3 linked regions of the Macaca mulatta genome follow. The protein of the gene in region 1 interacts with the protein of each later gene in a pairwise test. Links are inferred from orthologs where the notes say so. Each region holds a gene or a part of one and is shown in the gene's direction. Other genes may lie near its edges.

What was found.
Region 2: the proteins of STAC3 (region 1) and FAM133A interact in binary tests that used the Homo sapiens proteins (3 or more experiments, as listed by UniProt). The two-hybrid records come from large-scale screens. The link is inferred for Macaca mulatta from reciprocal best matches to the Homo sapiens genes STAC3 and FAM133A.
Region 3: the proteins of STAC3 (region 1) and PPARA interact in a two-hybrid assay, tested with the Homo sapiens proteins (2 studies listed by BioGRID). The two-hybrid records come from large-scale screens. The link is inferred for Macaca mulatta from reciprocal best matches to the Homo sapiens genes STAC3 and PPARA.

The regions. Positions count from the first base shown.
Region 1 is NC_133416.1:64,408,444-64,413,978, reverse strand, and holds the start of STAC3 (SH3 and cysteine-rich domain-containing protein 3), read left to right. Parts: upstream 1-2,190; 5' UTR 2,191-2,386; intron 2,387-3,731; exon of another isoform or gene 3,732-3,732; coding exon of another isoform or gene 3,733-3,798; intron 3,799-4,059; coding exon of another isoform or gene 4,060-4,110; coding exon 4,111-4,327; intron 4,328-4,563; coding exon 4,564-4,661; intron 4,662-5,163; coding exon 5,164-5,236; intron 5,237-5,535. UniProt on the Homo sapiens protein: Required for normal excitation-contraction coupling in skeletal muscle and for normal muscle contraction in response to membrane depolarization. Required for normal Ca(2+) release from the sarcplasmic reticulum, which ultimately leads to muscle contraction.
Region 2 is NC_133426.1:99,944,044-99,949,626, forward strand, and holds the start of FAM133A (protein FAM133A), read left to right. Parts: upstream 1-1,746; 5' UTR 1,747-1,850; intron 1,851-2,257; 5' UTR 2,258-2,330; intron 2,331-5,583. Other genes in the region: NAP1L3 (nucleosome assembly protein 1-like 3), read right to left, coding at 1-883.
Region 3 is NC_133415.1:5,335,682-5,341,361, reverse strand, and holds the start of PPARA (peroxisome proliferator-activated receptor alpha), read left to right. Parts: upstream 1-1,952; 5' UTR 1,953-2,084; intron 2,085-2,108; exon of another isoform or gene 2,109-2,595; intron 2,596-3,312; exon of another isoform or gene 3,313-3,332; 5' UTR 3,333-3,414; intron 3,415-5,680. UniProt on the Homo sapiens protein: Ligand-activated transcription factor. Key regulator of lipid metabolism. Activated by the endogenous ligand 1-palmitoyl-2-oleoyl-sn-glycerol-3-phosphocholine (16:0/18:1-GPC). Activated by oleylethanolamide, a naturally occurring lipid that regulates satiety.

The DNA.
Region 1 (5,535 bases):
AGATCTCAGCTGACTGCAGTGGCCTCCCGTATTCAAGCGATTCTTGTGCCTCGGTCTCCTGAGTAGCTGGGATTACAGGTGCGATCCACCATGCCTTATTATTATTATCATTATCATTATTATTATTATTATTATTATTTTGGTATTTTTGGTAGAGACAGGGTTTCACCATGTTGCCCAGGCTGGTCTTGAACTCCTGGGCTCAAGTGATGCCCCGCCTTGGCCTCCCAAAGTGCTGTGATTACAGGCATGAGCCACTGCTCCCAGCCCAACTCATCTTCTGAAAACCCTTTAGGGTTGTTTTTGTTTTTGTTTTTGTTTTTGTTTTTTTTGAGACTGAGTCTCGCCCTGTCGCCCACGCTGGAGTGCAGTGGCATGATCTCGGCTCACTGCAACCTTCACCTCCCAGGTTCAAGCAATTCTTCTGCCTCAGCCTCCCAAGTAACTGGGACTACAGGCATGTACCACTGTGCCCAGCTAATTTTTGCATATTTAGTTGAGACAGGGTTTCACCATGTTGGCCAGGCTGGTCTCAAACTCCTGACCTTGTGATCCACCCACCTCGGCCTCTCAAAGTACTGGGATTACAGGCGTGAGCCACTGCGCCTGGCCGCCTTTCTTTAATCCTAAAGCTGGAGGATTGGGTTTTACCTGTCAGGGACAGAAGCAGATGTTTATTACAATAAAAGCTACAGCAACTGAATTCACAGTGCCAAGATGCTATATTATCCAAACATGCTCAGCAGTCCCTGTCCTATGTGGCTGAAAAAAGGGGAAGAGCAGAAGTCATCTTGCCTGCAAGGTGCAGCTTTTCCTTTAGAGCATCTCAAAGCAAGCCCTGTTGTTCTGCAGTCTGTCAGAGCAGGGCCATTAAAGAACCTGCAGAGTCAGAACCATCCTGCACCACCTTTTCAAACTTCACCCTTAAATAGAAAAAAAAAAAAAAGTAGTGGGTGAGAATGACAAAGCATGTTGCCCTGGAAATCTCTTGGGTCCAAGTAGCTGTATCCCTAACCATGGTCCTACAGGAGCTTGCCTGACTCAGTCTCCAACACAGTCCTTTATTTCTTACAGATACAAGGAATAAAGCAGCACTGCATTGCCACCTCTAAATTGCTCTCCCCTGAGATGGGAGTATCTCCTCTTTCATCTATGTCACAGCCCAAAGAGTAGGAGAAGGGTAAACCCCTGTGAGATCAGAATGGCATCTGTCTCTTTGATCCATCAGTTACATACTGAGGCATCAAAGGTGGGAGATGGAATCAGGGAATCAAAAGGGTTTAGGAAGTGTGAGGTTGGCCATCCTACCTTTAAGAGTTTGCAGTTCTCATGAGGAAGGGGACATTACTTAGAAATTATTAAAAAGATTCCTTATGTGGCAGCTATATCCTTCTGTCTAGTGTTAACTGGCCCTTTTTAATAGCCCTGGTAATTCCATTCACCCTGAGGACAAAATTTTGCAAGAAGGAGGGTGGGGAGATGTCTCTGGGAGCTGATGGAGGGAATGAAGCAATACTACATATTCTTCACTTTCTTACAGGATAGCAAAGTACTTCTCCAACCACCCACAGATAAAAAGCAATCTAACCATGCACGGTGACCCACGCCTGTAATCCTAGCACTTTGGAAGGCCGAGGCAGGCAGATCACCTGAGGTCAGGGGTTTGAGACCAACCTGGCCAACATGGTGAAACCCCGTCTCTACTAAAAATACAAACATTACCTGGGCATGGTGGTGGGCGCCTGTAATCCCAGCTGCTTAGGAGGCTGAGGCAGGAGAATCGCTTGAACCTGGGAGGTTGCAGTGAGTCCGGATCACTTCATTGCACTCCAGCCTGGGTGACAAGAGCAAGACTCTGTCTCAAAAAAAAAAAAAAAAAAGAAAGCCATCTAGTATGGCTGATAGGAGAGCTCTATGCGTTCGAATTAGTCTTTTTTTTTTTTTTTTACCCTGTCTCAAAAAATAAATGAAAAATAAAAATAAACTCCCTTTAAATGTTATATGAGCATGAACAGAAACTGTCCCTTGCTGAATTTGGCCATTATTCACCTGTTCACCTTAGATGAAGAATCAAGGAACAGCAGCTCTGGAGGGATGGGAGGAGTTAGGGTCCAGCCCTGCCCCAGACCTCTCAGTGTCCAATTTCTCTGTGTCAGCTGTGTTTCTCAGCTGTTCACTTTCCTCCAGCCCTGTCATTTCAGCCCTGACACCAAGGCAGGAGGTTAGGAGGTCTACAAATAGCGACTGGGTAGCTGGTGTGAACACAGGGTACTGGGGGGGCTTAGCCCCCAAGGAAGAGGACCAGTTTTTCCCCAGCACCACCATCAAGGCCTCGGGGCTCCCAGCTCCCTCTACAGACTGTGGACTGATTTAGGGAATCCCAAACGTAAGTTACCTCTTCATCCTCTCGATTTCCACGACTGCTCACGCCAGCTGCCCTGATCTATAATCTATTCAGCTTCTTCATTTCTTTCCTTGTCTGTGAGTCGTTTGGGTTTTAGGAGTAAAATTATTATTCTACTCTAGGATGAGTTAGGATTGGAGGGGGGGTGGGGGTGGGGTAAAGGGAATGAAGTAGTAAGGGAAGGAAAGGCTCATATTACCCTGAAAACTTAAAATAGCTGAGCCCTGAGGCAGGCTGGGACAGAACTAGGCACAGGGCCCCCAGGGCTCAAGAAAGAAGTAGGGGAGGACAAATGTCTGCAGTCCATCCTTCCTTGTGCGCACACGAGGACACACATTAAACCTCTTGAAGAGAGGAGATCTGGGAAGGTATGCATCACATCTCTGTTGCCCACAGATTCCCAAGAGAAACAAAGTACCTATAGGAAAATAACATAAACCATGCAGCCTTGAACACTGTAAGGGCTGTAAACTATGGGGTCTCCCCTCAGGATGGAAGGATGAGTATCAGTTTGAGGAACTAATTGGGGAGCTCTTTAGTCTGTTGGGATTTATTTATTTATTTATTATTTTTTATTTTTTTTGAGATGGAGTCTTGCTCTGTCACCCAGGCTGGAGGGCAGTGGCACAATTCTGGCTCACTGCAACCTCCTGGGTTCAAGCGATTCTCCTTCCTTAGCTTCCTGAGTAGATGGAATTACTGGTGTCCACCATCACGCCCGGCTAATTTTTGTATATTTAGTAGAGATGGGGTTTCACCATGTTGGCCAGGCTAGTCTTGAACTCCTGATCTCTAGTGATCTGCCCGCCTCAGCCTCCCAAAGTGCTGGGATTACAGGCATGCACCACCGCGCCTGGTCATGTTGGGCTTTTTCCTAGACTTCCATGAAATCTGTTAATAAAACCTGCCAAATGATCTGTATTTGGCCCAGTGCAGTGGCTCACGCCTGGAATCTCAACACTTTGGGGGTTGAAACGGGAGGATTGCTTGAGCTAGTTCGGGTAAGCCTAGGCAACAAAGCAAGACCATGTCTCTACAAAAAATAAAAAGGTAGCCAGGTAGTGTGCACCTTGTGTTCCAGCTACTCAGGAAGCTGAGGTAGGGGGATTGCTTCAGGCTGGGAGGTCAAGGCTGCAGTGAGCCATGATCATGCCACTGCACTCCAACCTGGGTGACAGAGTGAAACCCCATCTCAACAACAACAAAATCTCTAATCACGTTTCTCCAAAAACCTTCCCTTTGAGTACCGCCCTACTGCAAGGGACAGAAATAAGGGGGAGAAGAGTGAAAGGGATTAGATTTCATAGTGGGGTCCAACCTCTTGCAGGATGACAGAAAAGGAGGTGCTGGAGTCCCCTAAGCCCTCTTTCCCAGCAGAGACTCGGCAAAGCGGGGTGAGTCTGGGCCTGTGACCACTGGGTGTGGGGGGCCAGGAAACCTTTACAGCTGAAGAAGAGTGCTTAAATTGATCTCATTTGTGTGTGACTCATGTTTTGCTGGCCAGCACCTGCAGTCCCCAATACCAATACCTGCCTAATCCTGGGGTACATTCCTTGCCCAAAACTAGAAAACTGTCTGTTTGCTCTAACACCCCCCTACTCTAGAGAGGGTGACAAGTCCTTTTAACGTTGGGTTTTCTTCACTCCCTCCCTCAGCTACAGCGGCTGAAGCAGTTACTCAGGAAGGGTTCTACAGGGACAAAGGAAATGGAACTTCCCCCAGAGCCCCAGGCCAATGGGGAGGCAGTGGGAGCTGGGGGTGGGCCCATCTACTACATTTATGAGGAAGAGGAAGAAGAAGAAGAGGAGGAGGAGGAGCCACTCCCAGAACCTCCTAAGCTGGTCAACGATAAGCCCCACAAATTCAAAGATCATTTCTTCAAGAAGCCAAAGTTCTGTGATGTCTGTGCCCGGATGATTGTTCGTGAGTCATAAAGGGGAGTGAAGAGAGTATGATGTTGAAGGCAGAGGTTGGGGAGAGGGCATACAAGAGGAGTATTTGTAGCAGATGGGCTGTGGCTAGAGTTGGTGTAAGGCAATGCTGTTAGAGATTGAGCAAGTAAGGTCCCAGACAGAAAAGGGAACCTAAGAGTAGCAGCAGTGGTACAAAGGGAAAGGGCAATCTGGAATCTTATCTGAATTTTCTCCCCCTCTCCCAAGTCAACAACAAGTTTGGGCTTCGCTGTAAGAACTGCAAAACCAACATCCATGAACACTGTCAGTCCTATGTGGAAATGCAGAGATGCTTCGGCAAGATCGTGAGTAGGCTCTGGGGAACAAGGTGTAGAAAAGAGGTGACATGGACGGGCACAGTGGCTCACACCTGTAATCCCAGCACTTTGGGAGGCCGAGGCAGGCGGATCACGAGGTCAGGAGATGGAGACCATCCTGGTTAACACAGTGAAACCCTGTCTCTACTAAAAAATACAAAAAATTAGCCGGACGTGGTGGCGGGCACCTGTAGTCCCAGCTACTCGGGAGGCTGAGGCAGGAGAATGGCGTGAACCCGGGAGGCGGAGCTTGCAGTGAGCTGAGATTGCACCACTGCACTCCAGCCTGGGTGACAGAGCGAAAAAAAAAGAAAGGAGGAGACATGTCACCAGCTACCCCTTGCTGGTCCCTCCTCCATCCCATTCATTTCTCTGCTTTTTCTTTCTCAGCCCATCTCTTTTTCTGAGAAAGGGTGAGCACTCATGGGAGAGATGGGCTTCTGGACCTTACTTTGCTACCTCTAATGCTTCCTCCCATCCCATCCTACAGCCGCCTGGTTTCCGTCGGGCCTATAGTTCCCCACTCTACAGCAACCAGCAGTACGCTTGTATCAAAGATCTCTGTAAGTGCCCTTTATGGAACATGAGGGAATGGGCAAGCCTAGAGATGGTTTCATGCCATCTCTAGCTTTGGAAGCCAAATTCTGAAACAGAAACTTTCTATTTCCCATAATTCTCCCTCAACCTAACATTTTTATATCCATTTGGATGCAGAGGCAATATCCCCATTTTACAGCAGAGGGAGATAAGATTTAGTTGCAACTACATACGGTTAGCAAGAGGTAGCGCCAAGACTGGAATCTTCAGTTGCTAGCTTCAGAATCTGTGCTCTTCATGTGCAAAATCATTTCTAAGCAAGAAC
Region 2 (5,583 bases), on another chromosome or scaffold:
TGTCCTGAAGCCTTTCCTCAGGAACTCTTTTATGAGCCTCTCTTACTGCAGGCCTTGCCTTAGCCTCTGTTGCTTTAGGCTGTTCTTTATCATCTGCCTTTACCTGGGGGGCTTCTTTAGGATCTTCTTTTACTTCAGGGGTTGCCTCCATACAGTCTGCTTTAGAATCTGCTTTTTCTTCAGCCTTTATCTCAGGGATTTCTTTAGGAACTTCCTTTTCTTCATCTTTTACCTCAGGAATTTCTTTAGGAACTTCCTTCTCTTCAGCTTTCACCTCTGGGTTTTCTTTAGGGGTTTCTTCTTCCTCACCCTCTAAGGGAGGCATTTCACTAGGGGTGTTATCCTGCACCTCCTCATCACTGCTGAACTCCTCATCCTCTGAATTCCATTCACATTCTTCTTCTGTAGGCTCGTATTCTGCATTGATGATTTGAAACCGCCTATCATATAGAGGCTTGTTGAGTTCAGCATATTTTCTTTCAAGATCATGAATTGCTTTTAAGAACAGGGTGTCTACCTTGTCACATTCTTCTTGAATGTTTCTAAGCGCTTGCACACGATTTCTAACTGCCTGAGGCAGCCTATCCACGAAATTTGTTCCCAAGGGGGCCCGCCGCGCCCTGCTGGAAGGCTCAGGTACCCTCTTCTTTCTATATAAGCGGCTGCGGCTGCTAGTGCTGCCGCTGCTGCTGCTGCTGCCGCTGCCGCTGCTGCTGCTGCTGCTGCCACTACTGCTGCTGCCGCTGCTGCTGCCACTAGTGCTGCTGCTAGAGCTACTGCTGTCAGATTCTTCCCCAGAATCACTAGTCGAGCTAGCCATCTCCTCTTCGGCAACCCCATGGGCGACGGGTTCCGAGACCATTTTAAAATCTGCTTCTGCCATCTTGCAAGCCTGAAAAACTCTACCGCGGAGACCGCGCGACCAGAGATGGGCAGAAAATGACTCACGGATGCTTGAGTGGCGGCGGCGGAGGCCCGGGCTGCGGAGGTGGCAGCGGCGATGGCAGCAGCGGCGCAGAGCGGAGCTGGAGCTGGGGATGCAGAGGCCGGCGCTGAGGTGGCAGCGGCAGTGGAGGCCTGGGCGACAGCGGTGGCGGCAAGGCCTCTCCCGGCTGCAGCTACACAGTGCCGAGATGTACCGCAGCCGAATGGCGCAGTATGAGACCCCGAGATCTCTTCTCGTTTTAGATCGCGAGCCCCCTCCCCTCGCAGTCAGACCTCCCGTTAATTTCGTTCCCAGTGTGCCTTTAGTTCGCTCCTCATTTGCTGGTCCACCTTAATTGACAAACCGTACGCCCAACGAACGGCCAAACGCCACTACTCCTGGCTCCGCCCACCTTCCCAGACGCTGCTCGCCGGCTGAGGTGCGACCCCCTGGAAGGTGTCCCCGAGCCCCCCAAAAAGTCTATATTTATAGTTTTATAATTAAAAGAGGAAAAAAAAGCGTAGACATGAGGTAAAAATACCAGCCATAGTTCCTAACAAGGGCAGAAGAGGCGTGTCTTCCTTCTCCCATCCGCCCATCCTGAATTCCCGTTTAGTTTGTCACGGGTCTCTTGACAAAAATCTGTAAAAGAAAAAAAAAAAAAAAATTGAATGAAAATGGTCCAAATGGCGTCATTGGGTAGTGTGACTGTGGACGATTTAAAAACAAAACGATTTTCTCTAAATATTCTATGAGCAGTATTTTTACACTGGATAAAAAAGGGGAGAGTCGGTTATTGGCAGAGGGGGGAGGGACTAGACAGCAGGCGTATTGCATTCCACGAAGCTGATTTAATAAGTGCTGTCTGTGATGTTTGGCAAGCCTGGTTTATATCCATCTACAAGGTTTGCGAACCCATGTTGCCGTGAGTCAGTTACACCATTTTTATTATATTTCTCTTTTTAGGCTGGCATATTATATACCCCAACCTTGCTGCTAACTTGCCACGTAGCCCTTCTCAATGCTTGCAACAACCTTGTAGATAAAACAATGAGTGTATTAAATGTTAGGTAGTATTGTTAAAAAGCAAATGATTTGCGTTATACTTTTGTGCAGCAGGTTTCAATTCCAAGAACAGTGGGATGGGAGGGGGAATTTGTGCTAATGAATGTGCATCTTCTGTCAGTGTATGCGATGTCATCTGCCACCAATTTCCTTCTAATGTTGTAAAATTCTAGCCATACTATAGTATGATTTACAAGTCCAGTAATATGTGAATAAACTTTTGCAAAATGAAGTTTAAAAACGGGTATTTGTTATTTTTATTTACAGGATTTTTTTTTTCTGCTACAGAACAACTACCTTGGTACAATAAAAAAGACGAGTATTTACTTTTCATTGAAAGGTAAGGATCATATTTAGCACATTTTAAAGAATGACAAAAATTACTCATCTCCATCTGAATAAAAGTTTACAGGATGCAGTCATTTAGAGATTTATTTTAGATAATAATCTTGATAATTCTATGGAAACAGGAAAATCCACAGAGGTAATTTGGCATACTAATGTAGACAATAGCCTACTTAACCACATTAACTATCTTAACCTGGTCATAGAATACAAGTTGTAAATTAAAATATGAAATATGATAAATTATTCATTTCAAATGAGGAACTGTATTAAAGTTAGATTAATCTTTATAGAATTTGTGCTTTGTCATGTAGTCACGTTTTTAAAAGTTATGAAATGCTTTTCTGTCTCATAAATGCATTTACTTTTATTGTATATCTCTAATTGTCAAAGTCTGTGAACATTGCAAAGATAAAACCTCAATACAGAAAATTCCAACAGTAGTAAAAACACACAATCTTAACCACCAAATGATAAGAATTACTAGCATTTTGATGCACTTCCTTCTAGAAATTTCCTTGTGCATATACATACCTGCCTATTTATGTATACTGCTTTATCTATGTGATACCATATTATGTTTTGTAGTCTTTTCATTTAATTTATCAGTTACTAATGGCTATATTTTCATGGCAAATGATCAACATCTTATTTTTAAATAAGTGCATATTCCATGGAAATAATTGCCTTAATTTATTTGAACAGATTCCTCTTATAGGGTGGCTATTTCTATACCATCTCTCCCCTTATATACATATTATTTTCCTGCTATAATAAAAGTGTCCCTGGATACCTAAAGCATATATTTCTATGCACTTCTGAAAATTGGTCATAAGATAAATTCCTAGAAATGAATGGCCTGGGAATGATCATTTCATATTATGGAATTATTATTGTATACATATTGCCAAACTCTCTGCAGAATGATTATCACAATTTACAGTTCCAACAGTGCATAAAGGTTCATTTTTTTTGTCATTCAGCTAATATATTTTTGTGCCTGTCGTATGCTGGGCAAATGTGGTAGAGAATTGTAGTATAATGGTGAATGAAACTTACTAAGTGCATATCCTTTCGCTGAATAATTTTAATCAAAGCATATGTTATAGAAACAATGATTTACATCAATGGTGTTATACCATAAATATTGTTCTGAGACTCACTATTTCTTTTTAAATTATGGAGATTTTACAAAAAGTATGCTCTTATGTTTTAAACTTTGTAGCATCAGGAATTAGTATTTTAGAGTGAGTCATGAGGTAGGGATCCAGATTTTTAAAATACTTATTTTTATTAGCTAGCTAATTCTTCTAGTACCATTTATTTGGTAATCTTTCTATCTCCTGCTTACTTGAAATGCTACTTTGATCACATTAAATAAATTGCTTGGGTCTGTTTCTAAATTCTTTTCTGATCCATTAGTTGCAAACAACTAATGAGTCGGTGTTAAGATAACTTTACATTTTGTGAAAATGATATGTGTTCATTGATAAAGTCAGACAATACATTGAAATACAAAGAAGAAATTAAAAGTAACTCAAAATAAAACTGAGAAGTAATCACTACTTACATTTACATTTGTAATCAACATCTCCAAATTAATTTATCAATATTAGTATTTGTATTTCTTAGATTAGTGGTAAGATTGTGTTTTCATATGTTTATGTTTATTTGAGAACTGTCTATTCATATTTTTTGTTTTCTACTGAATTAAGCAAGAAGTTAATCAATGGTGAAATCCTAAAGGTAAAATGATTTTGGCCTTGACTTACTTAAGACAACTATGATTTCTTCAGGAAATAATGCATGATATTGGGCAAATGTGACTAAATTTCATATTAAAATTGGTTGGGTTTTTTTTTTGGGGGGATGCTTGGGGGTTTTTTTGGATGCTTTTCAAGGATTACGGATAACTACTTAACCACTCACACTGATCCTGGAAAAGTTTGGAATGGAACATGGAGATGAAAAATAGAAAAAAGCTTACAAAAGCATCATATAAAAATAATGTATTAATCAACAATTGTGATTTTCAATTTGGAATTATTTTTTCCTAGATATAGGCAATGAAAATGTTGAAAGTAGATGATTTTTTCTAATCACAATTCTCTACTTTAATTGTGTATCCATAAGTATCTTGTAACACACTTTTATTTTTGTAGCTTTTTTTTGGTTGATTAGTTTATTTAATTTTATGTAGTAGGTATCTAAAATAAAATAAGCTTTTTCTTCATAATCAATTTAATTGCTGCATTATATCCTATTTGTTCTACTGTGAAATGTACATATTAGTTTTATCATATCATATGCTTATTTTTCTTAATAAGGTTATATATAAATTATTTGCATAGTGATATGTTCTTTGTTCAATTACTAGATGATTTTTTTGTGGGACGGCGGCTAAATGTTAATGCTTCTACATGAGATGATACATAACACAGAATCTGATAGTATACTCAGACTGAACATAGTACATTAACATCTGTTGATACCTCCCTTAATATGAATATACACACAATCCCTTCCACCACCCACTCCTGCCACACAAACACACAAAGTGTATAATGACACGTGTAGCAGCATTATCTTTTTTTGTAGGTATCTAAGAAGCGAAGCATTGCAAGTTCATTTATTTTTGAATGACTCTTCCTCCTGTTCTTCTTGGACAAGTTTTATCTGAATATACAAGTTAATTCTTTTTTAAAAACCATTTTATTGATGTATAATAGGCACACAACAAATGTGTCTATCTGTGAAAGTATCACCACAGACAAAATAATGAAAATTGTATCATCCCTGAAAGTTTCCTCATATGCCTTTGAATCCCTCCTCTTGTCCCTAGACAATAGCTTATCTGTTTTCTGTTCCTATAGATGAATTTGCATTTTCTAAAATTTTATATAAGTGGAATAATGTAGTATGTTCCTCTTTTTGCCTGTCTTTGCAGAATTATTTTGAAATTTACCCATGTGGTTGTGTGTATCAGGAGTTTACTTTTCCTGTTTACTGCCGAGTAATTATTCATTACTTGGCAATACTATGATTTGTTGATGGGCATTTTTGTTGTTTTGAGTTCTGGGCTACTACAAATAAGCCTGCTATGATCATTTGTATATAAGTTTTGTATGGACATATGTTTTAATTTCTTTTAGCAAAATACATAGGAGTGGAATGACTAGATCACATGGTAGGTGTATGTTTCACTTTTTAAGAAATTACCTATTTTCCAAAGTGGTTGTTTTGCATTT
Region 3 (5,680 bases), on another chromosome or scaffold:
GGTGTGTGACAAGGTCTTCGAGGCCAACAGAAAATTGCTTCATCTCTCTCATCTGAGCGTGGTTTCCCAAAAGAAACCTACCACCCCTGGGAGGCAGTGGATGCGGGGCTGTTTCTGGCCCAAGAGAAGAGTCCTGAACTTGCTTCTACCCTCGGGACGCCTGCGGGAGACTGGCTGACAGCATTTGATTGAAAATGCTTATTTCTGGGACACATGGATGAAAAACAAGTTTTCTCTCCCTAAAACCTTGGGAGCCCCAAAAACCCAAGAATATCAGTTTTCTGTGTCTGCTGAGTGTAAATGACCACTCTACAGACCCCCACACAGCCTTTGTCCTTGTTCATGAGAAGGTTCACCAGGTCTTTCAACACCTGGTTGACCTGGGTGGTGCATCTGGGAAAAGAAGCCAACACACCTGTGTGGACCCTGGTCCTTGAGAGCCTGGGATATGGGGACACCAGGTAATATCTTTGAGCCCAGAGGTCCTCATGAGGATATAGCCCCTGAGCTCTGCGTGGGCTGCGGAGTGTCAGCTTCCCTCACCAAACACAGCAGGATGACAAGCGTGGATGTGGCTGCCTGCACCCCCCGCGAGATATCCAGGATATTACGTGTGCGGATCACCCTGTAAACTCTGAAACATAACATAGATCTTAGCTATTGCTGGCTAGCATGTGCAAGAGAAGGTGAGGCTGCGGTGTGCCAGTGGGAAGGATATATGGGTGTCTGGAGGGTGGGACAAAGTTCACCACAGGTGCCTGGCTAATCAACTAGGGTGAGTTTAAGAGAAGTTTGTGAAAGGGCCAGTTCCCACCTGGTCTCCAGTTCCCCTGCCTAATGAGATTTGTGTTTCCTTTCCGGAGTGGGTCCTCCTGGGCGCCGGCTGCCACAAATAGCACAGTGGCAGGCGCAGCTGGCAGTGGAGGGCAGGCAGTGGGGCGGGCATAGCACACATTGCGTTCCCAAGGATGGGCGCCCTGATGTGCCGGCACCAAGGGGGTTTGTGCATTCCGCGCGGGGAGCTCGGGCGTCACGGCGCGAACAAAGCGGCTTTGCAGGGCGCTCTCCTACTCCTCGCCATTGGCCGCCAGGCCGCGACCTCCCCCTGCGCTGGCAGAGTCCCAGTGCCTTACGTGGGCACAAAGTCAGTCCCTCACCCCCCAGCGCATGGAGTAGGGGGCGGGCATGGGTCTCGGGTTGCTGGAGAGGGGTGGGGTTGTGGGGTCGGAGTTGGCGGCGCCTCCCCGAGCCCGTCCGCGTTGCCCTTCACCCTCCTCGTTCCCCCGCCCGCCACACCGCCCTGGCACCTCTCGCCACCTGTTTCCTTGTCCTCCCAGCTCGCCTTCCCCTTCTCCTTATTTTGCATCCTGGGGTTCCAGGGACAAGGTCCTTCCCGGGCCGCCTCCCACCCCACGCACTTCTGAGACTCAAGAGCACCCGGTCCCGGGTCCCGGGTCTAGACCGGCTTATCGCACAGAGCGGCACAGCCGGGCTCATCGAGAAGGCAGGAGGGGCTCGCCAGCGTGGCACTGGCGACCGGCGAGAACCTCCACCCGCCCCGCGGCGTGTCCACGCCTAGAATTCAGCCCCACCCTGGTGCCTCGGGCTGGAGGGGCGCCGACGCTCAGCGGTGTCCCGTCGGTCACCTTGGACAGCCCCTCCACCTCTCCGGCCTCAGTTTCCCTTGGCTGCAGCGACCGCGAGGCGCTAGGTGGGAGCCGCTGAGCGCTCCCGGGGCCCCGCCCACCTCGATCAGCCAATCGGGCGCCGCCGTCCGGGGGGTGTGTCCCGGGGCCGCGGCCTGGGGCCCGGAGGGCGCGCTGGGCGGGCGGGGCTTCCGGGTCGGGCCTCGGGACACTCGCCCGAGCGGACCGGGGCGGGGGGCGGGCCAAGGGGCGGTGCGTGTCGCGGGGGCGCGGCTGGCACGGACGCGCGGAGGCGGCGCCGAGCATGGGCCGTGGACGCGGCGGCCCCGCGGCGGGGGCAGCGGGCGGCGGGGGCGGAGGCGGCCGCTAGCGCCCTGCCCGGCGCCGCCTCCTTGGGCGTTCGCCCCACGGACCGGCAGGCGGCGGACCGCGGCCCAGGTGCCCGGGGGCGGGCGGGCGGGCACGCGCGCAGGGGTCCGCGGGCCGTGCGTTCCCGGTCCCGGGACCCGGAGGGCGGCGGACGGGGGAAGGGCAGAGGGTGGGCGGCGCATGCGCGGGGCCAGGGGTCTCGGGGTCCCGGGGACCTGAGGGCCCGGGGTGCGCGGCTGGAGACCTGAGGGCTAGGAGCGAGGACACACACCGAGGACTCGTGCAAGGGATCCCGGGGCCCAGCTCGGCCTCCCTCCTAGCGCTGGGGGCCTGCCCGGAACCCCAGAGTCCGCGGCTGTCCCTGGGGCTTGGCGCTGCGCGGAGGTCGGGTCTGGGGACCGCAGCGACTCTGGGTCTTCGGGTTGTCCCCTGGGAGGGAGGGCCCACGGGCAGGGACATCGGGGCTTGCCCTTCCCTCGGCGCGGTGGAGCTGGGGCGTCCCCGACTCAGAGGGTGCTTTCCGAGACCTCCAGGGATCCCCGAGGCGAGGAAACCCGGGCCCCGGACAGACCGACCCTGGGTGGGTGCGCCCGGCTGCTGCCGTCGGACGGAGACGCGCGTGTTTGTTCTTCCAGCTGCGGCCACCTTTGAGGAACGGTTCCCACTTTGTGCCCCAACGCGGCGGGGCGACCCCAGACAGGCTGTGCTGGGCCGGGTGGCTTCTCTGCGGAAGCCGCGCCACGTCGCTGCCGGTCGGGGCCGCTGCGGGTCGGGCTGCGGGTCGGGCGCCCAGGTCTTTCCGGAGTCCCGCGCTGCGCGGCCCGCGTGGTGCGGGTGAAGCCGGAGGGGCGCGGGGTGGTGCTAGTGGAAGTCCGGAGGGTCGGCTCTGTCCCCTCACTCACCCCAACTAACAGGGCACAACTGCACGCCTGTGCTTTTCTGAAGCCTTTCTTAAAAGTTAAAAGAGAGGAAGTGTGCTCCAAGTGTCAGGATTCCTTCCAAGAAAAACCCACAGTTGTCCAACGCCCTGGGCTTCGTGGGACCTCCGGGGCTGCACGACCACGTCAGCCCCCGCCGCCCCCGCCGACCCCTGCCAGGAAACCAGGGAGGCCCCTCCTCTCCCAGCCTCCTTGGGATAAGGGTGGCTTGAGGAACTGGGTCAGGGCAAGGACACGGGGTTTTACTGAGAAGGACCCTGTGACACCCCCTGTCGTTGCTGGGCAGGGTCGGGATGACTTTCCTCTTCCAAGGTGAAGAGTTGGGGGGCATTCAGAGAACATAGCGTAATCACTTCCTCCTTCACCTTCTTACTGCCAGGCTGAAGCTCAGGGCCCCGTCTGCTCTGTGGACTCACAGTTTGTGGCAAGACAAGCTCAGAACTGAGAAGCTGTCACCACAGGTAAGTAGAAGGTTTAATTTACTGTTTCCAGATGGAAATATTTAAGTGTTTTCAGTGTTTACTGTTGTTGTACTACAGACCAGCAATCTGGGGGTTATTACTTTGTGATGCAAGGTTAGATACATTTTCAGACTGAAAGTAAGATACATGTGCATGGGTTCACTTTTTTTTTTTTTTTTTTTTTTTTTTTTGAGATGGAGTCTCCCTCTGTCGCTCAGGCTGGAGTGCAGTTGCCTGATCTCAGCTCACAGCAACCTCTGCTGCTGGGGTTCAAGCGATTCTCCTGCCTCAGCCTCCAGAGTAGCTGGGATTACAGGAGCCTGCCACCACTCCCAGCTAATTTTTGCAGTTTTAGTAGAGATGGGGGTTTCACCATCTTGGCCAGGCTGGTCTTGAACTCCTGACCTCACGATCCACCTGCCTCAGCCTCCCAAAGTGCTGGGATTACAGGCGTGAGTCACCGTGCCCGGCCTAGGATTCACTTTTAAGTTCTGAGTTATTGTGTGAGTTTTGCTGGGAACTTCATTGCTTCATGGCAGGCATGTTTTGTATAATTTAAAACTTGGTAACATTAACTTTGAGAAATGTGGGTGCTTAGCAGACCCTTGGGATGTCCACACTGACTGGTACCGAGCAGTATACCGTCTCTGAGCTGTTTTCATTTTGATTTGAATATTAAGTAGATGGCTTGTTGAGATAGGCCAATGCCAGAACATGCCAAGGATAGGCTGAAGAAACGGCCAGATGATATGAATTTGTGTGGTCACCATTCATGAGAGACCAGGGACACTGGGGCTGATGATGACCTGTGTAACTCCGAAGCAAAAGTAAATTAATTGGCAAGCTGGGTGCGGTGGCTCACTCCTGTAATCCCAGCACTTTGGAAACCGGAGTGGGCAGATCACTTGAGGCCAGGAGTTTGAGACCAGCCTGGCCAACATGGTGAAACCCCATCTCTACAAAAAAAAATAGAAAAATTAGCTGGGCGTGGTGGCGGACACCTGTAATCCCAGCTACTCAAGAAGCTGAGGCAGGAGAATTGCTTGAGCCTGGGAAGTGAAGGTTTTAGTGAACTGAGATTGTGCCACTACACTCCAGGATGGGTGACAGGGCAAGACTCCATCTCAAAAACAAATGAATAAAATAAAATTAATTAACCGACAGTAGGAAAAAATGTTTTTTCTTTCTTTTCCCACATCTGTTTTGTTTTGTTTGTTTTCTGAGATGGAGTTTTGCTCTTGTCACCCAGGCTGGAGTGCAGTGGCACGATCTTGGCTCACTGCAACCTCTGCCTCACGGATTCAAGTGATACTCCTGCCTCAGCCTCTCGAATAGCTGGGATTACAGGTACTCACCACCACACCCAGCTAATTTTTGTAGTTTTAGTAGAGACAGGGTTTTGCCATGTTGGCCAGGCTGTTCTCAAACTCCTGACCTCAGGTGAACCTCCCGCCTCGGCCTCCCAAAGTGCTGGGATTACAGGCGTGAGCCACCGTGCCGGGCCCTTTTCCGACGTCTTAAACACAAAGTAAGAGACATGCCATAATCATCAAATACTGCAGTGGTTTTCACCAGCTCCTGTTTATCAAACTTATGAACAGAGTTTTAAAAATAGTGTATCAGCCAGGCGCGGTGGCTCATAACTGTAATCCCAACACTTTGGGAGGCTGAGGTGGGCAGATGACAAGATCAGGAGTTTGAGACCGGCCTGGCCAATATGGTGAAACCCTGTCTCTACAAAAAAAATATGAAAATTAAGCTGGACGTGGTAGCAGGCGCCTGTAGTCCCAGCTACTCAGGAGACTGAGGCAGGAGAATTGCTTGAACCCGGGAGGGAGGTTGCAGTGAGCTGAGATGGTACCACAGCACTCTGGCCTGGGTGACAGAGTGAGACTCCGTCTCCAGAAAAAAAAAAAAAAAATTGTATGTGAGAGAGAGAGAACTAGAGAGAAGAAAGAGAAAACCTGTCTTCTTTATAAACTATTTTATAACTTTTTATTGACTAGGTTATGAAAAATCTTTCTATGTGGAAAACATTTCTGCATCATTTGAAATGTATATATAATATCCTATTGTGTTTAGATACAATAATATTTAACCAATCTCTTTATATATGTGTATGTATTTAATGCAGTCATTCTATAAATATTTACTGAGTAGCTGCTGTGGGCTACTGTCCCGAATGCTGAACAAGACAAGCATGGATCCATGAAACTGATTTTCACACCAGAAATAAAAAGGAAACGTAAAGATAATCCTCCTCATG